Linked DNA regions of Diceros bicornis minor. The protein of the gene in region 1 purifies or fractionates together with the protein of each later gene. This does not show direct contact. Links are inferred from orthologs where the notes say so. Each region holds a gene or a part of one and is shown on either strand. Other genes may lie near its edges.

Evidence for each region.
Region 2: the proteins of CHD3 (region 1) and SMARCB1 purify together in Homo sapiens (affinity purification with mass spectrometry; 3 studies listed by BioGRID, with this or other methods). This does not show direct contact. The link is inferred for Diceros bicornis minor from reciprocal best matches to the Homo sapiens genes CHD3 and SMARCB1.
Region 3: the proteins of CHD3 (region 1) and RBBP7 purify together in Homo sapiens (affinity purification with mass spectrometry; 6 studies listed by BioGRID and IntAct, counting the BioPlex papers as one, with this or other methods). This does not show direct contact. The link is inferred for Diceros bicornis minor from reciprocal best matches to the Homo sapiens genes CHD3 and RBBP7.

What each region holds. Positions count from the first base shown.
Region 1 is NC_080757.1:10,508,177-10,515,605, forward strand, and holds the start of CHD3 (chromodomain-helicase-DNA-binding protein 3), read right to left. Parts: upstream 3,019-7,429; 5' UTR 2,995-3,018; coding exon 2,724-2,994; intron 2,645-2,723; exon of another isoform or gene 2,583-2,644; intron 1-2,582.
Region 2 is NC_080774.1:29,771,595-29,778,505, forward strand, and holds the start of SMARCB1 (SWI/SNF-related matrix-associated actin-dependent regulator of chromatin subfamily B member 1), read right to left. Parts: upstream 3,022-6,911; 5' UTR 2,902-3,021; coding exon 2,809-2,901; intron 1-2,808. Other genes in the region: MMP11 (stromelysin-3), read right to left, coding at 4,778-4,911, 5,856-6,113, 6,889-6,911.
Region 3 is NC_080781.1:13,855,764-13,863,397, forward strand, and holds the start of RBBP7 (histone-binding protein RBBP7), read right to left. Parts: upstream 3,022-7,634; 5' UTR 3,007-3,021; coding exon 2,859-3,006; intron 2,575-2,858; coding exon 2,430-2,574; intron 1-2,429. UniProt on the Homo sapiens protein: Core histone-binding subunit that may target chromatin remodeling factors, histone acetyltransferases and histone deacetylases to their histone substrates in a manner that is regulated by nucleosomal DNA.

The DNA.
Region 1 (7,429 bases):
ACCAGCCACTCAATGCTGGCCTGGAGCCCAGACTCTCCCACAGCCCTGGCTCAGATCTCGGGAAGACTGCGAGGGAGGAGGGCGGGCGAGGAGCGGGAGGGCGGGGCCTGGCAAGCCGGAGAAAGCAGGAGGAGCCTCGCAGAAAGCCTCGCCTCCCGCCCGCCCCTCTCTCCTTCTAATCTCACCATCAATCTCTCACACATATATTTATTTTTTCTCAAATTCCCCTCCCTCCCCCACAACGAACCACCATAATAGGTCTGCTGCACATGCGTATTGCACGCAGGGGGTGGGTTTGTATTTTCAGACCTTTTGCAAAGAAACTACCAGAATTTTCCGCACCACCCACAATCATTCCCCACCCCCACCCCCAAGGAATCACATCTATATATTATGTTATATTATTTCTCTAGACTTGCCAGAAGGGGGAGGGAGAAGAAATGAGTTTTTGGCTTCCTGCTCCCTTCCCCCATCAACACGAGTGCTATTATTTTAAACGTTTAACAATGTAAGGAGACTGGAGAGGGGGGAAGGGATAAAATTGGTCTTGGGTAAGAATGTAAAACAAAATGGTGAAAATCAAAGCAGTCAGAATGAAAAACAATAGAAACCCCTAATACGTACAAATTCATATTCTAGAGAAAAGAGGGAGGGCAGCCGGAATAAATTTCCTTTAGGAGGGTTATTTTGCTCACACTTAGGTAGACAAAAATAATGAGCAGACTAAAAATATTTTCCCAAAGTTTTACCTCAGAAAGTCATCTGAGGGGGTGTATCTGGGTCACTCATTTGACTCGGAGGGCTGAAAGGGAGATAAATTGCCCTGGGAGAGAGAGGAGGTGGTTTTTCATTTCAAATATAAAAATTTAAAAACATTGACGTTTCTTCTCGTCTACTCAGAAGGCAGAGTTGGGAAAGGGAAGGGAGGATTGACACAAAGACCCATCTCGACCTCAGATTCTTTCATGCTCCTCTTTCTCCCACATACCCAAATCCGGGATCAAAAACACCCAAACACCACATTCCAAGTTCGGAATACAAATAGATGAGAGCCGCCAAACCCCTAACCTAACCTGACATCCTTTCTTTCCCTCTTTTTAGCACCCCTGCTGTTTTCCAGGCAACCCCCTCCCCACAATTCTTTATTCCTTTTCCCTCGTGCAAATCAGTGGGCTCTCTGGGATAACTTTCTAAAAACTTTTCCCTTTTTCAGAAAAGATTGGTGGGGGGCGGGGGGCTTTATTCTGTTTCCATCAGACATACATCCTTCTGCCCCTCATAAGGAAACATGCCACATTCCCTCAAAGGTTGTCTCAACTAGACAGGATCATTTGCCACATAAGCCACACAGATCAATATAACAGTTTTACAAAGAGCATGATGTTAGATGTTTTGAAGTTTGGTGCATTTGTGCAGCACAGCACCCAGAGGCCTGAGGTGCGGATGTACCCTTTCATTCCCCAAGCATGGGGTGTGAACACTCTAAAGATGTTCACCTATTGTAAAGAAAACTAGAAATAACTCCACTAGGAGGGTGGTCTGAGTGAGGCCATTGCTGGGCCCCCCATGCAAGGCAGCGGTCTGTCCCCTCCGCCACTGGTGGAACTGCCCAGAATGCCGGGTGACTTATCCCGGGGAGGGGTGCTGAGTGATGGTCAAACTGCAGAACAGCTGGGTGGGAAGTTCACGACCCCCAAAGTGGTCAGGGTGTGGGTGGTTTGAGCGAGAGAGTGAGTGACAGTGAATGGCAGCCACGTGAGAGTCACAGCTGGGCAGCTCGGCCACCCCAGACTGACGGGGTCATGGAGGGAGGGGGGGCGCACTTGACACAAAGGAGCCCAGAGCAGAGGAGAGATAAAGGGGGTGGAGTTGGGGGCATCTGGTTTCCCAGACACTGTCCTCTCGCTCCCCAATCTTAAGTGACTGCTCTGCCTATTACGAACTGGGGGGAAAGGGGGTAGGATCAAGTCACATTCCAGGAAGTGGTCTGCGTGGAGTGTGGCCACCACCTGCCCCTAGTCGTCAGCCGCCCACAAACATTCACACGACCCCTCCCCCATGTGCCACCGCACGCCCCAGAGTTGGCGGGCACCAAAGTCCCCGCAGGTGGGGGGCTCCGCTGGACACCCACTCCCTCCCCCCGCCTTCCCAACTCCAGAGGGGAAGGAGTTAGGGCCGCGGTCGGCCCCACACGTCGAAACCCCACTTTACCTCAATCCAACCCCACCGGGGCCGAAGCCCGAAGGGCGCCCGCACGGCCGCCCCTCCCCCACGCGCCCCTCCCCCACGCCGCCGTCCGGCCGCCAGGGTCTCCGCGGTCCCTCGCTCGGCCAGGGAGGGGGCCCTGGCTTCGCCTCGGCCGTTTCCTGCCTACCCCCTCCCCGCCGAGGGTAAAAAAAAATCTCCTCCTCCTCTTCCCCCGAAAGCCGCGACCGAGTGGCCCGGTCCGCGCGCGCAGCTCGCGCCCAGCGCTCTCCAGCCGGGGCGGCGGCGGGCGGCGGCGGCGGCGGGGGAGGGGTGCGGCGGGGGAGGGGAGGAGGCCTGGCCCCGCGGCCGCCGCCGCCGCCGCCGCCCGCCCGGACCGCTCGGACCGCCGGGCCCGAGACGGCGCCCGCGCCCGGATTCGCTTCGGCTCGGCCGCGCGGTGGGTGCCTCGCCCCCGCCCGGCCCCGCGCGCCCGCGGCTCCCACTCGGGCTGGGGGGGAGTCGGAGCTGCCGCTTACCTGGCGGCGGGGGTGGCGGCGGCGGGGGCAGCAGTGGCGGCGGCGGCGGCGGCGGCGGGAAGAGGTGGCAGCCGGGGGGGCTGTGGCGGTCGCGGCCCCGGTCGTGGCCCGGCCCGCGCCCGAGTACTCCTTCGTCGTCGTCCTCATAGTCCTCGTCGGGCGCCTCCACCTCCTCCTCCTCCTCGTCGCCCTCTTCTTCCTCCTCTTCTTCCTCCTCCGACACCACCATCTCCTCCTCCTCCTCCTCCTCGTCCCTCAGAGGGGAAGCCATCCTGTGGCTCTGGCCCCCCCACCACCCCCCCACCCACCGCCCGCCCGCCTCCCCCACCGCTACCACCACCACCACCTCCTCCTCCTCCTCCTCCTCCTCCTCCTCTTCGGCGGCGGCGTCCTCCTCCTCCTCACCGCCTCCCCCAGCCCCCCAAACCCCCGGGCCACCCCCCTCCAAAACCCCCACCCCCGGGGCCGCCGTCTGAGGAGGGGGGCCAAACCACCCCCAGAAATTTTCTTGGAAAAAATTGAGGAGAGACTTTTTTTTTCCCCCTCTCTCCTTCCTCCCAAGAGAACAAGAAAGGGGGATTAAAAAAAATATATATATATATGTATATAAAAGTTTTCGACTTCTCTCTACCTCCCTGTCTGTTGCTTTAAATATATTTAAATTCTGAGGGGGGCGCTCAGAAATATTTCTCAGAGCTGAGGCACTAAGATGGCCGCCTTGAAATTATTTTTAAAACAACCCCCCCCCCCAGCACCGCCACCCCCTCCATGAAAAAAGGGAGAGGGGGGGAAAATCCCCTTTTAAAACAAAATGGCTGGCTTAATATTTCATTTTTCACCCCCCCATTCTCCTCCCTGTTACACCCCCATCTCCAAGCCTCTACCCAGAAACCCACAAATTTCTCCCTTTTTTCATAACTGATTAGTGCACAGATTAATAGAGATATTTTCCTTGTGTACTGAGTGTGTGTGTGTGTGTCTATGCGCGTTGGGGGGGGCATGAAGGACTTCTGCATAAAACAAAAATGGCTGCTGTGACTAACTCCCCCCTTATAAAAAAATATTTGAGGGGGGGCATTAATCAGTACTCATGCTCAGTCTGACATCAGCATAAATTGTTAAAGGTTAACTAGTTAGATACTAGTCCAACTAGATTTAAATTTTTTTCTTTTCTTTACTAGTCTTCCTCCCCACCTCCCTTCTCTTAAAGAAAAGCTTTTTTTTTTTTTTCTGAATACTTCAGAAGGGAGTGGTTTGATGTGAAGGTTTTTTTTTCCCCTTCAGGCATTGAAAAGGAGAAAGATGAAATATATGTTTATGTATAACTCTGTTTCTACATACCTCATTGAAGTCAAAACGCATTTAATTGTATATGTATCTTTTAAGTGAGAAGCAGTACTGGATTTTTTTTTCTTTCTTTAAAAAAGTAATAGAAATCCTAGTGACTTTTGGGGGAGAGATATGAATAGATAGGATGATTGAGTTTTTTTCAAAGGAGTCCATGTTTGATTCTCCCCTTTGCCCAGCCTTTTCAGTGATTTATAATTGTTGTAAATTTTATCTTCACTCTTTTCTCCTTTACCTCTCCCTTCCCTCCCCCAGTTGCTTGAATATAAAATTCATCTGATTTGGGGAATTAATTTAGGGGTAAATAGAACAGATTTTTAGAATAAAGGGGAAAGAGTCAAGTCTGAAGATTGTGAAATTATTTTCTCTTTTCTCCCGTTTCAGTATATTTCCCTTCCTCCATGGTCTCCAACACTGATAAAGTAGAAGAAACTGAGGTACCGTCAAAGAGAAAAGTAACTGGGACTGAGAAAAAGAAAGAGGTAGGGGGTTACACTCGCATTTTCATCTAACTTTCTGACCCATGATTTCCCACTGTACTCCAGTGTTATCTTAAAAGTGGTACCAGGAGTCAGATGGATTGAAAAGGAGTCCGAAAGTAGCTTTCTCACCCAGAGATGTGAGCAGAGAAGTCATAAAATAAAACTTGCCAGTTGAGCAATGCTAGCAAAGGAAAGAGGGCAAATAGCTCAGTTCTACCCTTTTTCATTCTTGTCACCCTTTTCTTACTCCAGTTTCCTCCCATTCTTTTGATTTCATGTTGCCCCTTTCCTTGCTTCCTATCCCATGCCTGTGGAATCATTTCTCTCCTGGGTTATTTCTCTACCGCTTAAGTAGAGCTGTCAGCCACCCAGCAGCCCCTGCAGTGTTCAGAGCACCTTAAGAGGTAGGGATAGGTAGGCAGCAACCAGAAAGTATTAGTGACAAAGAATACTATGCAAATTTTTGCTTAGGAGGCTAAAATGTTCTTTATTGATGTGCCACCCCCCCCTACATAGACTAATACACTTTATTGAGCATTGATTTCCATCTTTTTCTTAACCTGGCATTTGGAATTCGCTTGCCTCTGTTCTCATATCATTCCTGTATTGAGTCTAACTCCTGTCCCTCTTCCATTCAATTTTGTTCTGTTCTCTTTCTCAGTCTCTCTTTACTATCCCCCTTTCTGCATATGGGCTTCTCTGTATGTGTGTGTTTATTTTTTCACAGAGACTTTCTTATCCCTTTGACTCTCAGGCTCTGTCACCTCTAAGTGACTTTTCATCTTTGTCTTCTTTCTGCTTACGTCTGTCTTCCAGGCCCTGACTGTATGTGCCTCTTCCTCATGTGTGCCTGACTCCCCCTCTTTCTGGCCCCTCTGTGTGTGTCTGGGAAGAGTGTCCCCACATGTGTGTGGGCAACCCTGCACATCATGTGTGCCGCAGTCTCTGCCTCTGTGCCCTCTCCCTCTGTGCTGAGCGCCTCTGCCTGCCTGCCGCATGTGCCATGAGCTGCAGGTGTGAGTGGCTAAAGGTGGCTGTGTGCATCCCTATACAAACATTCGTCATTCTCTTGAGTGTGCTTTGCATGTAAATCTGTTAATTTGCCTGATTCTCCCTCTTGTCCATCTCCCACTCTGCCTGCATCTCCTCTTCTCTTTTTCTCCTTGCTGACCTCTTGATTTTTCTTCTTTCCTCGTTTCTACCTGCCTCTCTACCTGCTTGCTCCTGTTACGCTGTCTGTCTGCCTGCCTGCCTGCCTGCCTGTCTGCTTCTCCCTGACTGGCTGGCAGCCTCTTTCTCTCTCTGGTTGTCTGTCTGCTTCTCTGGCTGTTTGCCCACTGCTCGCTCTCTAGCCATCTGTCTCCCCGCCTGCCTGTCTCTATCACTTTTTTAGCCTTGGTCTGTCTACCTGCCAGGCCCTGCCATGGTTCCCTATCTTGGTTTGCCTCTTATCTTGCCCTTCTACTTCTTCCTCCTCTTATTTATGCCTGTAAAGTTCATGATTTTTCCTTGCCTCCCTTTATGATTGTCTTCTTGCCTGTCTACCCTACTTGCTTGCTGCTATCTCACTGTTTAATGCTTGTATCTTTTTAGTCTGTCTGCTTATCAGCTTTTCCTCCCTTAGCTTCCTCTATACCAACATCCTGTCACTGGTGACGGTCTCTCTACCCCAAACCTCTCAGTGACCCCCTTGCCCCAAACTCTTATCTGCCTTCTTCCCATATCCCCTACCCTGCCTTCCCTCACTGCTTGCCTCCATTTCATTTGTCTCTTCTTTTTGTCTTGCTGGTTCCTTAGACAGTCTGCCTGCCTCAGTCTTTTTGCCATTTTTCCAGTCTCTCATTGTCTTCCTGCCTTTTTGTTGGCTAGCTGGCTGGCTCTTGCTGTCAACATCTCTGCTTGATTTTCTTTTTTCTTCTTTTTTTTTTCAGTCAACTTTTAAATAGTACATACACATTGTACAAAATTTTTAAAGTACTAAAAGTATCCTGTGAAGAGTAAGCCTCCCTCCCATCCCTCTCCCCCAGTCCCCTAGTTCCTCTCCTCAGAGGCAGTCACTACTTCATAGTTCTTGGATATTGTTCCAGAGAAGAATATACACATATAAAAGTCTACTTGCTTTTTGCTACACTTCTTCCTGCTTCTCTCCCAGTTTTGCTGGATGCTTCTTCCTCTTGTCAGTCTGTCATTACTCCTTCCTACTTTGCTGGGCTTGCCACCTCTTGCCTCCTGTCTTTTTGATTCTACTTTATGGCACTTATCTTTTTGATTGACTGGTTGCTGGTTGCATGCTTTTACTGTCAGCACCTGAGGAGCATTTAGGAAGGGCTTGCTCTCTCCTAATCTCCTATTTTACTTTGCATAATAAGTTGTTTTGACAGCACACCTTTGCTGGTCTCTTTGTCACTGAACTATGTATTAATTGAGAAAAGACATGAAAGCACTGGTAGTACTGAAAAATACCACATAAATATAGGTACAGTTAATAAGTACAGAGAGTTTGTAAGCTGAGCTTACATGCGCAGAGAGTAGGTGGAGGCCCGCTCTGCTTTTCCATAGTCTATATGAGTTCTTTCAAGTCATATGAATCTAGATCCTTTCAGGTTCAGCAGCACCCTTAGGCTGCTGACCTAGGCCTGTCCAAGAAGTTTATCTTCCTCGTCTAAAAAGCTTCGCTTCTTACTAAAACTTTTCTCCCTTTTCATCCTTCCTTCTGGCTCCTCTCACGTGCCACCTTAGAGATGTTGTAACTCCTTGGGAGAAACAAAGACACAGCCTCTCTCCAGGTCCCTTCAAGATGATGATAAAAGATGATGACAAAACTTTTAAACACAATACACTGTTCTTTCATTTCTGCTTTTTTACTGAGTGTATTCC
Region 2 (6,911 bases), on another chromosome or scaffold:
GCAGCCTGAGGGTTCGCTGGTTCGGATCCCTGGCGCACACCGACGCACCGCTCATCAAGCCATGCTCTAGCAGCATCCCATATAAAGCAGAGGAAGATGGGCACGGATGTTAGCCCAGGGCCGATCTTCCTCAGCAAAAAGAGGAGGATTGGCATAGGATATTAGCTCAGGGCTGGCCTTCCTCACACACACAAAAAAAATGATCATTTGAGTTTTACGGCAGGGACAGTCAGCCGACTGGGTGCCAGATGCTGGCTCCACCTGTGACTGGGAATTACTTTCCTTTTCTGGGTCTCCTTACTCATCTGCCAAATGCTCAGCAACTCTGAACTTTGGCCCAGGAAGAACCACTTCTATTATCTCCCCATTTACCTATCCAGCATAGTATATTTATTAAATAAAAATGTTTCTCCATTTTTCATGAATCAAAGATTTATATAACTGGCAACCAGAGCTGCTGAACAGAGCGACAAAAGGCAGCCACAGCCAGTCACTCGTGCTCCACACAATAGGCACAGTCTCCTCACGTTATTTGGCTTGAATGCCATTACCATCCGAGGGCAAATGTCCAGTTTCCATTAGGTTTTCACGAAGACGTTGACAATAATGCCCCCACCTCTACCCTGCAGGTACTACAGGGCTCCAGGACTCCTAGACCCTTCCCAAGAATCGTTCAGAATTTAGGGGAGCGGGGCTTGCCTTCCTGGGTTTTCCCTGAACCAGCCTTCGCCCTCTCTGGACTCAGGTTTCCCAAATGTAAAATGTAGGAGTGGACCTGGGCATTTCTTCAAGTCCTCTCAGCTCTGTGACTCTGGCTCGGGGAACACAGCTGCCTGCAGATGGCGGAGAACAGTGACACACATTCCCTGTGACTGCAGACGCCCTCCCAAGGCTGTTCCGAGGACTGGCATGGGGGCACTGGATGTGTTGCTCTCGCCGGCCCACCTCTCTGAATATGGTGCTTGTTTCCCAAGGGGAAGGGGCCTGGTGGCCATCCACTCAATGCTGTCACAGGAGCTGCTGGATATCAGTAGACAGTATCCTGATCTTGAACCCTTCCCAGACCTCCAAAGGTCTGACGATCGTCAAGCCAGGTCTGAGAGAGCAAACCACCGCCCCCCTCTCCCCCCTGGGTCTCTACAGACTGGGTCTCAGGTCAATTGTTCTCACTCAAGAGGGCTGAAAGAGAAGACCGTAGTTAGTTTTCTAGAAACTAAAATGTGTTATGGGGAAGATCTTAGAGACCATCTAGTCTAAACATCTCATTATACACATAAGAAAAGTGACTGGGAGGCCAAGCAGTGCTGGAACCAGGCCTCCCAACGTTCTCCCCATCTGGCCATGTGCTTCTTCTCTCAATTTGCTCCACCTAATAAATGAAGGCTTGCTTTTCAAAAGTACCACCCACTCAAAGGCCAAACTGACTGCTCTTCCTGCCCACTAGATCAGGTAAAGGTTTCTTTAAACAACCTGCCCACTATCACATACCGAAACTCCTATCCTGCATTTAGGCAGGTGCCGACCAGTAGGCCAATGAGGACCATGTGAGCTGTGGCAGATGGACAGGCACTGGCTCCATTTCCCCAGCACAGGTATGTCTGAAGAGCAGCACTTATGTGATAACTTGAAAATGTTACTGCATCCTGTCCTTTTTGTTTTATAAAAATTAGTGAAAAATGGAAACACTAAAGATGCTCCTGACAACAGTGGTCTCACAACTCGATACAACTAAGACAAGCCAGGAATCACAGGGTGTCCTGAAAGCCTACTGTGACCATCATGGGGCTTGCTTCACTCACATTATGTTCAACTGTGAAGAAAAAACCCAAAAACTGTAAAAACAGTAATGAAATGTTGGCGTCTGATACTGAAAACTGCTACAAGGAGAGACAGCCCTGGGCATCTTGTACCTACTTTAGCTCTCCAGGATCGGCACTTGCCTCGTTAACCTAGACAGACTCCACTGCTCAGTATCTGCACATCTGAACCGTATATCCAACATTTTTTTAAAAAAGGAATATACACTGTCTGAGGACTGCCTTTAGACCAGAAAGGGTTAGTTTGAGGCACTCTGGAAAAACTTAATATACATAGTACAAATTCCCACTGAAGGACCAGGTGTAGGGTGTTCCTAAAGTCAGTCATCCAGCTGATTCGACAAAGTGCTGTCACTTCTAGTCAAAGATAAAAGACCTTTAGGATCTTTCCCTCCTCATAATTCTGAGTAAGTTCAAGACATCCAAAGTGGCACTTGCTCCCGAATTGCTGATAGAGCTAGCTGGTAGCCTGGGGCCTTATCGAACCAAAAGCAAGCATCCTCCTCGCCACCCATTTCCTAACGGGTAAACAAAGGTCAAAACACCTCCTCAAAGTCCACCTCAAAGGCAACACAACGGGATGAGCCCTCACTGAGCCCACGCTTCCAGCCGGCTATTTCAGGATCCCATAGGTAGCAATGGAGTAGCGGCGCGTGTGAGATTCCCAACATGCCCCCCAGAAGCGCTCAGGGTCTAACCCGAGTGCTACCCACTCAGCGGGATCCGGTGCCCCTCGGGGAGCCCCAGCCCTGGTAGCGGGGCGCGTCCCCACCACCGCGAAATTGCTAACCTATCCCGGACCGCCAGGGCGGGGGGGCGGGGGCTCGCTGACCACGCCCTCCCGACCACGCCCCCAGCGCTTCGCGTCCACCTCCCCCCCCGCCCCCCCCCCCGCCGCGATGAATGGAAACGGGCGTTCCCGGCGCGCAGGCCTGCTCTGAGGCTCCCGCGACCCCGGGGCCGAGAAGGGCGAGGAGGTGCCGCGGGCTACCTCAGAGCCGATCATGTAGAACTCGCCGTCGTCCTCCAACTGGAACTTGACAGGCTTCTGCCCGAAGGTCTTGCTCAGCGCCATCATCATCATTGCGGTGGCGGAGGCAGGGGGCCGAGGCCGGGCAGCGAGACTGAGAGGGCACACCGAGGCAAAGAACAGGCCGGGGGCTCGCGCCGCAGCTGAGCTCCTCAGCGGCAGCCACAGACGACGACCAGACCGCCCTCAGTGCGCATGCGCGGCCTTTGACGCTGACGCGCGCGCCGCCGTCGCCCAAACAAAAGGCCGAGGCGCGCCCCCGCGGGCCCCTTAAAGGAGCCTCGATCCGTGTCTATTCCTCCCAGGCCGCCTCCCGAGTCGAGGTACCGAGGGAAACTTCTCGCGGGCAGAAATAGTAACCGAGGCCCTGACTCAGGCGGTGGCTTTCGCAGTCTCACAGCTGGGACTGGAACTCAGCCCAGTGGAAGAAGAATGAAATGAGGCCTGAAGGCGGGAGGAGGCCCGAGCTACCCATGTCTCAGTTTCCCCACCCGGGAATGCAGTGCTGCTGAGTAGATGAGAGGGCTCCTAGGAACAGATACTGCAGTTCCGGGCTCACAGCTGTTCCTGCTGCTGTGGGGATGGGCAGAATGACAACCCTGGGTGGGGCCTGGCAGGATTTCCAGGCCCAGGTGGTATTTGGTTTGGCTGGTGCACCAGATGAGTGTTGCAGAGGAGGGAACCTCCTCATTCCTTTCTTGACTGTGCTTTGTGCCTACAACAAGCCCAACTGTGCGGTGAAACTGGCCAGCCCTGCCCTGTGGCACCCAAAGCTCGGAGCGGGGACTGACGCTAATGAAAGCATCAGAGCATCCATGTATCCAGTGAACGATGCAGTAGGTCAGCAACGGCCCACTGCTAACAATTTCACATGGTTCAAGTCTAATAGAATTGCAGCTGTGATAGGTGCCACTATGAAGAAGATACACGTCGGGCTGGGTGGTGGGCAAGGAGACACTGGAGAGTTAGGAAGGGTTGGCCGTGGCAACCATGAGTTTTGTTCTGTGTCCCAAGAGCATTGGGAAACAGGAGTTTAGGATGGTGGCTGGGACGTGGCATGATCAGATAAAACGACCACCACTTAGTGGAGCATGATCAGAGGGGCAAGCGGGGAAACAGGGAACCAATTTCAAAGCCACTACAGGCATCTAGTGAGATGTGATGGAGGAATGGAGCGGGAGGAGCCCCAAGCATTGCACCCAGCCCCAAGGACCAGAGGCTTGCGGGTGGGATGGGCTGTGACCCTGGCTCCCAGGACAGAGGAGGTCCCAAGCCAGGCCTCCCACCTTCCTGGCCCAACCCCTTCTCCGTCCTGGCCTTGCAGTCACAGAGAGACCCCAGGCAAGCAGGTAGAAAATGACCATGTTTAATGACAGTCCTTAGTTTAAAAAAAAAAAAAAAAAGGCTTTGTACACACTACAGACATTTACATGGCTTTGGAGGGTCCCAGTGCTGGGATGAGGATTGAGGTATGTTGGGGCCTCCAGGGCCTGGGGTCTCTGGCAGGAAGCACCCCTCTTCCCCAGCCGACTGTGGACCTTTTGGCCTGGATCCTGGGGAGCAGATCTCCAGGATCACCAACCAGTGAGGGCTCCAGCTCCCCCAGCCCTGCTGAGGGACAGGGATGGAGACTGAGGGTGGCCGGTTTGACCGTGACCTGCACGAGGTAGGGCAGAGCCGACCTGAACCACCCTCACCCTTAATTAACACCAAAGCCTCTTTCCCAGTCTGAGACAGTCGCTGGCAGATGACCACGACCCGCGTGGCCTTCCCTGCAGTTGTCATGGTGGCAGCACCCCCTCCCCACCCCCCTGAGGAGACATGGGCTCCGTCCCATGCCTGGGGCCCACAGCCACAAAGATGGCCACAGGTTTCTAGCTGATGTCAGTGGCCTGGCAGGGGTCAGGAGCCCTGAGGGCATCCACGCTGGTTAGCGGAAAGTGTTGGCAGGTTCGGTACAGCCGAAGAAGTCGGGGCCCACAAGGCGGGGGAAGCCCTCCAGGGCCTTCACCTTCACTGGGTCAAACTTCCAGTAGAGGCGGCCACGCAGGAAGTAGGCATAGCCTGAGTAGAGAGGCGAGTCAGGCCTGGGCAAGTGGACACTGGGCCCCACGCCCGCCCCTCAGGCTGTGCCCAGGGATGGGCACAGGGGGCGGTCCGGGTGGGCAGGCCTTGGCCGCTGCTGAGTTTCTTGAAAACTGCAGGCCCCACGGTGGCCCTTCTAGAACCTCCCTTCCCTCGGAGGAACCCTTTCGCCTGCCCCCAGAGTCTGGTCTGAGCTACCACCCAGCCTAACAAATGCCAGGAGCCTCAGAGGCTCAACTCCTACCTCTCAGGAAAGCAAGTCTCTCTCGTCACTCCCCCCCTCCCCAAGTCACTCTACTCCCGCACCCACAGCCAAAACTACAGATGGGCATCTTGAGTCAAGGTGGATGATAAGGGCAACCTGGAGCCCCAGAGCCCAAGGCCACCACAGGACAGCGCTCCCAGTGGGTTCTGATGTGGGAAGGCACAGAAGCAAAGTGGGGGTGGGGGCACAGGAGAGGGTACTGGACTGCAAGTTCCCAATCTAGTCCTTCGAGACTGCAGGCTGGGTGATTCAGTGGTTAGTAGCAGGGACTGCCTAGGTGGGGGGCCTGGCTCCCCACCATCTACCTGGACGGCCCCGGTTAGGGACCTCATTGCCTGAACCTCTCTTTGTTCCTCTGGAAACTGGATTCATAACAGGTGCTACATCTGAGAATTGCATGAGACGTGTAAGGAGCTTGGTGCTGTGCCTGGAGCATCGTGGGTCCTCTGTGTGCAGCGGTTATTATTTGACCAGCTATGACCCAGGGCCCTGGCAAGTCCTAGTACCTCTCTGGCCCTCATCTCCTCATCTGCAGCACGGGGGTATAGCACTGCCCTGGCAGGAGGACAGGGGATAGGGAGGGCACTGGACAAAGGACCTGTGATGAGGAGCTGATGCCCAGCCACCACTTCCACCAGCCATGCCACCCTCAACACACCGTCAGCATCCTGGAAGGTGGCATCGATCTCAGAGGGCACCCCTCGCCAGTCGGTGACTCGGCGGGGCACAGGGCTGTCCACACGGCGCGTGCTGGGGTGGAAGCGCCAATAGTCTCCGCCGCAGAAGAAGTAGATCTTGTTCTTCTCGGGGCCCCAGACCAAGGCGGCGTGGACTGGGGACCCCAGCAGGCCCAGCTCAGAGAGGGGTGCAGGACCCAGGACTGGCTTCTCGCCGTCATACACCCAGTACCGAGCGCCTGCCAGAGGGGGGAGGCTGCAACGGAGCTGCCCAACTGCCATGCCCAGCCACCGCAGACCTGCCCAGCCGCCACCACCGCCACAGACTTTCCCAGCCTCAGTCCCTTGTCTGTCAAACACAAAGGCCAGGAATGCCTGCTCAGCACCCCACGCCAGAGGGCAGTTGGAGCCGCGGGGTAAGGTGAGTGGTGCAGACGCGGAGAGGTGCCCGCGGGAAAGGTTATTCTAAGCAGAGAGGCTGCCTGGCCTCCCACTTCTTCCCCTGGCATGTGGCTGCCCATGACAAGTGCCAGCTGACCACCCTGGCTGGGCCTTTGTTTATGAAATCCCTGCCACCTCGAATGCTCCAGGCTCTCGTCTCTGCCAGCTGCAAGTTAACGGAACAGGCTCTAGGCTCTCCAGACCTAGGTCACATCCCACTTCTGCCTTTTCCCAGCTGTGCCCTCAGGTGAGTCACTTCACCTCAGAGCCCCGGAGGCCTCATCTCTAGACCAGGGTTCATAATCCTGCCCACTCCACGGGGTGCCTTTGAGGGCTGACTGCACCAATACACAGGCCACGTGCAATACCTTCTACCCTATTCCCACCTCAAGAGCCGCCGCCTCCGCGAGCCCCCTAGCTGTGCCCAGAGGAGTGAGCCACACTCTCCCTTGGCCCCAAGGCTTCGGGGCACCCACCATCTGCCCATCACGTCTGTCTGTCTGTCCCTACCCTTGGCCATACCGTTCCTGGCTCCCGGAAGTCTCCTGAGCATGACCCCCAACTCCCACTCACCTTGGAAGAACCAAATGTGGCCC
Region 3 (7,634 bases), on another chromosome or scaffold:
CTTGCTACCAGAAAAAAAAGATGGAAGGAAGATATATGTATGTACTTCTTCATGCCTGCAGGATGGATAAGAAATTGCAAACAATGACTGACTCTGCTCTGGGTAAGGGAACTATGAGAATAGGGGCTGTGGAAGGGGGACTTATTTTTCAATCTATGCACTTTTGTACCATCTGAATTTGAATGATTACAAAGCTTTTCAGGTAGAAAATAAGTTAGTCTCAATATGTTTAAGAAATTATTTAATAAGAGATATGAAACCATGATCTACCAGTTTTGAAAAACAATCTCTTAGAGAGATCTAAATTTTTAAAAGCCAAATCAATTATTTGGACGATTACCTAACTCAATTTAAGGACAACAGCTCAGAAAGCGCAAGTAATCATTTGGAAACATGTTTTATGTAGGCAGAAGGCCTTATGAGGTTGAGTAGGGTCTAGTTCCTCAAAGAGCCAGGCAGTAAGAGTAGCCAACATTTCTACTGTTCTGTGTAGTGACAAAACACAAATTACAGGGCCTTCATCCCCCAAAGAGAACCCTGCAAAGCACCCCACAGCCATCTTCAACATCCAAGAATGCAGGCTGGCTGGCATTTTCTTGCATTCCCAGAGCCACTGCACGTCCCACAACCAGATCCCACTTCTTCATACGCAAAGAACACCATGGCATACATAATTTAGTTAAAGTATTTTCTGTTAAGTTTCTAAGCGTTAACATAAAAGCAATATCTGGGCTGAGAACATATAGCTCTATTATCTTTAAAATCTTTATGCAAAACACATTATAGGTAACATTTTAAAAAGACTTCAGTAAGCAGCTTTCATTGAAATCCAAATGGAAAAACACAGTTATTCCATCCTATCTAACAAATTATTTCTGAACAAAAGGGGTGTAAAAATCAGCATCAGTCACCACTTACTGTGTACTTACTCTGCACCAGCACTTTCACATGCACGATCTTATTTAATTCCCTCAAATGCAAGCAGTCAGTACCATCAGCACCTCAATTTACATACCAGACAACTCCGTCTGATAGAGACTGACCAGCTTGCTCGAATTCACAAAGCTACTAAGAAGCAAGGGGCAGAATTCAAACTCAGGTCTCTAACCTTAAAGCCCCCGCTCTTTTCTACTGTTACAGTAGGTCAGAAACATCCAAGAGAATGTAAATTAAGTTGTTAAAGTTTTAAATCTGCTTAACAGGAAAACACAAAGAGTAAAATGCACAAGATGCTCTAAACCAGAACCTGGATACCCTTAAGTATTCGATGCTCAAAGTTGTTTTATCAACGCTTAGACCTCTCCATTATTTAGTTCTTGGCTACTCTTCCCACATCTGTGTATTTATGTTGAGATTTTTGGGAACCCCAAGGGAAGCCCCTATCTGTATGGAAGTCAATGACGGCATATGGAGAATGTGGCTGTTATATGAGTAATTTTATATAAACTAACTCTTATTTTTATAACGTCGCAAAATCCCCTTTCTAGATTAGAGTTTGATTAATCTTCATTAAATTATATGCTCACAATACCCAAATTTAATACACTTGTAAAGTACATAGCCAAATTCCTACTAGAAAAAGTGCAAGTATATAAGAAAGGTAACCTAGTGCAGGGGATACCTCGACTCTGGGGCCATCCGGTTTGGGTTCAAAAACCTGATCTACCACTTACCAGCTGTGTAATCTTGGACATGTTACTTAACATCTCAGTCCCAATGTCCACATCAGTAAAACAAGGATGATAAAAAGTAATCCTAGTGCTGTTGTATTAAACCCAATAACAGCATGTAGAACTTTTCAGGTGTGCCAGGCCCCGTTCTAAGTGCTCAAATGTTAGCAATTACTACCAGAGACGTTTTAGAAATAGCTGAAAAGAACACTCGTATGAAGACCAACAGCAATCTCAAACTGTATTTCATACTATAAGCCAATAACAACACCTTTTCTTTGGTGAGCTGTTGCTAAATTCTTTTCCCCTTTGCCAATTAAAACATACTCATCTTGGGGGCTGGTTACATGGGTTCATGGTTACATAGTTCACCGTAAAAATTCATCAAGCCATAGGCTTATGATTTGTGCACTTTTCTGTACATATGCTATTTTTCAATAAAATTTTAAAGAAATCCATTAGTCTGAAGCCCAAAGAGACACCGCTCTATATTTAAACCCAAGAAATGTCAAACATATCCAGCGCTTCCTACAAATACAATTAATCTCACAGCAGATTCTTTCTCCCCTTTTAACGCCACACTTATACGTCAGAAATCATCCCATAAACCACTTAAATTTTGAAAATAAAAATCACCTGCCACCTCATCCAAGGGCTAAATTGATTACATTTTTCTGTTCTATGTATAAAATGCCAAAATTAGGAAATTCAGGACAAGAGTTAAATTCGTGCAAAATAAAAGTTGCCAGACACTCTTACTTAGTCACTTCAGGAAGCCACTGAACGGTAAGACTCGGCCACTGCAGAGCATGTGTCATAACCAGGTCATACAGAAACGGTGTATTCTTCTTCCAGATTTTATATTCTTCATTGATGACACGCTCCTCCACAGTATCTTCAAACACTGAAATTTGGAGAAAGCCCATACGATTAAGCGGCTGAGAGGGATCAAAATCAGAATCGATACACAGATACTGGAGATCACCTCGAGACGGCCACACCTAATCTACTCTTTGCCTTTAACCTCTAATTTGGACGCGAACAACTGCTCTTCCAGAATGTGGAGAGAATATTAACACCAGAAAGCTTATTTTTTGCAGTTTGAGATCAATACCGCCTGCGTATTCAGAACGGAGTAATTAATTACACGGACACGGAAACTGTCTTGCTGGTTACTGCTGTTCGCACCTGTTCTAAGATGACGACCCGTATGTAGAGGAGCTCCACGACCCGCCCCGGGAGACGAATCCACGTGTAGCAAAACCCCATCGGCCCGCTCCCTCCAACCCCCACCAGGAGAGGCCTCCGCTCCCACGAAACCGGTGTCGGCAGCCATAGGCCGGCGGGTTCCAGAATCCCCCGGACAAGGGCCGCGACCCCGAGGCGGTCGACGCGCGCGCGTGGAAGAAGCCGCCGTGCCCGCTTTCCGGCGGCGGAGACCGCCTCCACCCGGGACCGAGGGCGCGGGAGGGAGCGCCGCCGCCGGGAGGGGGGGTCCGAGGGGAGAGAGGGAAGGGGGCCCACCCCGCGGCCCCGCGCCCGGCTCCGGAAGTGCTCAAAGCCCTCAGCGCCGCGGCCCCGTCCCGCGTAGGCCCTCGAGGCGCGCGCCCAGCCTCGCGCCCGGCCCCGCCCCCTGCTCCTCACGCCAATTCGCGCCTTTCGCCGGCGCGTGCCGCGGCCTCGCGCGCCCGCCGCCCCCCGCGGCCCCGGCGTGCGCCGCCCCGCAGGGCCTCTTACTCTCTTTACTCGCCATCTTGCGTCGGGTCGTTCGCCCCTCGCCGCCGCCTCAGACTCCCCTCGCTAGCCAAGAGCAGCCCAACCGCAGGCGCTCCTGCCTTTCCCAGGCGCGTCACACACTTCTAGCTCTCGAAGCGTGAGCTCCGGCTCACAGCCTGGGTGCTCCCCAGACGCCGCGTCCTTCTCTCCTGCCTCCTCCCCGCTCGCGGGTACCGAGGTCTGAGGCGCTCTTCTCTCTCTCTCTCCAAACTTGGAACGAGACTTTTCAACCCGCGCCTCTCAGCCCGCCCAGGCAGCTGAGCGCAGGCGCATCCGCCCTGGGAAAAGCGAGAGGCGGTGGAGAGGCGGACCTGGGAGCCAACGGCTTCATCGCCTCGACCAATGACGTGCGGCAAGCAGGTTTCACGCGGCGTTCGGAGGCGGGCTTCTGGGGGTGCGCAGGGCGTTCCGCGGCAGGAAGTTGGCGAGGCGCAGGCGCGAGGGCTCGCCCGGCGCTCCCAGGGCCGGCCGCGGGGGCGGATGGGGGTGCGCTGGGGGTGGGGCGAATGGAGGCGCGGCGTGCGGGCTGCACGGGGGCTGCGAGCCTCGCGGAGGCGAGCCCCGGGGCCGTGGGGCGTGGCTGCTTGCAGCGGCCGTGGCGGTGGGGGTGGGAGGGGGGCAGGGAGGCTGCCTCCGCTTAGCCAAGCAAAATCTCAGAGCCAGAAAGGAAAATGGTTTCTAGTCTGGAGAGATTACTGTGCCCGCAAAGTCTACCCAATAATCACGAGCATGCAATTCTGTGCACCTTGAAAGGTCTTCCACCAGCCGACTGGCCTTTCGTGGGGCTCGGTCGAGCCGAGGTGGGGTTTGTCGGAGGCAAAGGGGACTTTTTGCAGAGGCCGCGGGCGTTTTCTGACTGCAGAAGCCGCCGGGCCTCCCTGTTAGGCTAAACCTGCGGCCTGTGCTGGCACAGGCCGCCAACGGCCCGACGCTCTTTTGAATTACGTTTTCGTTTGTTCACAAATTTGGGTCCTTAAAAATGATGATTTGTGGCCTCGCGTACTGCAGAGGATTTTGTCCCTACGCTGGCGTTCTTGTTTCCGTCCCAGCCCAAGACCCTGCTGAGTCATTCTTGTCACCTGCGGGGGTCCCAGGGCAACCGCACCCCAAGCTGGTGAGGCTGGGAAGAGTTGGGCTGAGCTGACCCGGGGCCGGCTTGCCCGAGCCCTGCTCTGTCCTGGAATTTGGTAGCCCCTGGGGAGTGCGTGGGGGTGGGGAGAAAGCGGGCTGCAAGGCTAAACGGGAACGAAAATGAAGGCCAGGAGCAGAGGGGACAGGGTAGGAGGGGGCGGCAGAGGTGCCTACATGCAAAGGGAACCTCTGTCTACATCCAGACTGCAAGAAAGGCTCCCCCTGCAAAAGCACCACCGGAACACTTGCTGCCTTGATATTTTCCAAGTGCCTTCATGCAAGTGACCATGGTGATTCTCAAACGAAATCGTGCAGCTGCTGCCGTGATGCCCACGTTTCTGATCGGGAAACAAACCCAGACGTTACTCTAGTCGGTGGCAGAACCACTCGTATTACCTTATATAGAAATTTACTGTCTGGTGCTTCTGGTTTCCGATACGATGCGATTCATTATTACAACGCTCTCCCTTTATGTCAGGCCCAGGAATCTTGTTAGTGACTAAAGCTGGGGAGGGGGCGGCTGGAGAGGGAAGAGGGTTGCAAGGGTGTTTAAACAATACAGCCCTCATGTTCTAGAACGCTGGTGGGCAAATGTTTTCTCTAAAAGGGGCCAGAGAGTAAATATTTTAGGTTTGGGGGGCAACTACTCAACTCTGCCGCGTTATAGAGAGAAAGCAGCCCTAGACGATATGGTTGATCATGGCTGTATTCCAATAAAACTTGATATACATTGAAATTTGGACTTCATAAAATTTTCACGTGTCACAAAATACTCTTTGGATTTTTTTCAACCGCTTGAAAAATGGAAAAATCATTCTTAGCTCGTGGGCCATACGAAAACAGGCGGCGGGTTAGATTTAGCGGAGGACTGTAGTTTGCCCATCTTGTTCTAGAGTAATTGTCTTACAGCTCTGCTTCAGTGGGAACCTCCTCATGTGCACAGCAAGAGAAGGCTTGGCAGACGATTTCCAGTCTCCCTTTAATATATTTTACTTATTTCTGATGGGTAGGCATAATTTCCAAAACCTATTAAATGTTTAAAGGGTTGAAAGAAAAGAAATCCTCCCAGACAATATGGCTTTAAAATCTTTATACTGTCCACTTCACTGAAGATCAGAGTACGAAGTATGAAGCAGATATTTTGGGAGTTTCTGAAAATATTCAGGCACTATCATACACTTAATCTGCAAGTATCATGTACAGCATATTTCGTTAGCTTTGGATTTTTTTTGTTGTTAAATTGAATTTGTCAAATCTGTTTCTCTAATTTTTTTTGGTCTTTTCCCGGTCGGGTACTTTTTTGCATCAAAAATGTAATAGCAGGGGCCGGCCTGGTGGCCTAGTGGTTAAGCTCCCTGCGCTCCGCTTCCCTAGCGCCCACGGTTCGCGACTCGGATCCGGGCGCGGACTTAGACTACCCATCAAGCCATGGTGCAGTGGCGAGCCACATACAAAATAGAGTAAGATTGCTATAGATATTATCTCAGGGCCAATCTTCCTCAGCCAAAAAGAGGAGGATTGGCAACAGATGTTAGCTCACGGCCCATCTTCCTCACGGAAAAAAAAAGGAATACCAGTTTTCTCTCTTGAATTGCTTAACTGTTCAGTTTTGTTTTTGCCTTTCACCTCGTCTTCTTAGCTCTGGTCCTAATCTTTTCTCCCACTTTCTCTGTGGTTGTCTTTCTGTCTCATGCACTCAGCTAAGTCTGCTAATCGAGTTAGGCACCAAGAGGCACATGCACCAGGTTGGGGGCTATCTTAACTGAGAGACGCCATGTTTAGGTCCCTTTCTCTAAGACTGCTTACCTCCGAGTTGCTGTAGTGTTAACCACCACTTTCTCCATGCCCACCGTGTTTCACAGACTAGCACACTTGTATATAAACCAGAACAAGTTACACCAAACAGTGCTGACCTTTAATATGTGTGATGCACTCTGGTATTTTATCTCATTTAAAAAAATATGCAGATGACCCTCTACATTGATTTCGTGATTGCACTCAATCACAAATTGAAGTCTGAAAAACACAGACAGTAGGATATTTTTGAAACCTCTAGCCAGTCCCCGACCACCCTTTATAAAATAACAACACACCCTCATCCGCCCTGACCGGTAATCACTCTCTATCCCCCTTACTCTGTTCTCACTACCTGACAAAGATTTGTTCATAGGCGTTTTCCCTTACACTAGAACGTAAATTGATGGCGGCATCTTTGTTTTGTTGTATTCGGCACACCTGGACCAGTGCTTACCAGATGTGGAAGCTCAGGCAGAGAGGGGTGAAGTGTTTTGCCAAAGTCACATAGCCAGTGAGTGTTGGAGTTGGAATTTGAATTCAATCAGTCATATTAAAACAGCAAAACTAATTGTATGTGTTAGAATGAACTGTTTACCGAAAGGAACAAGAGAGGGAAATGGTATCTGGACAGAGCTGCAGGGTGATTTTGTGTTCATTAACAACCCTGTCTCACCAGTTTTGGGGGAAAATCTTAGCCATTCAAAAAAATTTTTGCAGTACCTACTGTGTGCCAAGAGATGGTCTGAGAGCTGGAGATACTTGGATGAACAAGACATATAGAGCACCTGCTCTTTCATACATTCCTTTATTTTTTTTAATTACAAAAGCAAAGCTCATTACAGAAAAATCTGAAAATTACACGAGCAAACGGGGTGCATAAAGAATACCAGTTTTGTTCCTAGCCAAATCATTTTCATCCAAATCATTAGGAGCAGAAGAAAATACACGAAAACATTAATAGCCGTTGTCTCTTGGTTACTGGTATTATGGATGGTGGTTATTTTATTCTTCATATAGTGCTCTATTTAAAAATTTTCTCCAGTGGACAGACATACGCTTATAAACAGAAAAAACAAAGGCCACACGTTTTAGAGAAAATATATTAAAAAATGGTAGAAGAGTGATGCAGACAAATGAAGAGTTATCGTACCGTGCTAGAATTCTAGGTAATTTCTCTTAAAATATTGTTTAATGCAATTGTGTGAGAGGGAGTTAAAGGAAAATTATAAAATAGAAAACTGTAGTTGTTTGAACTGTTTT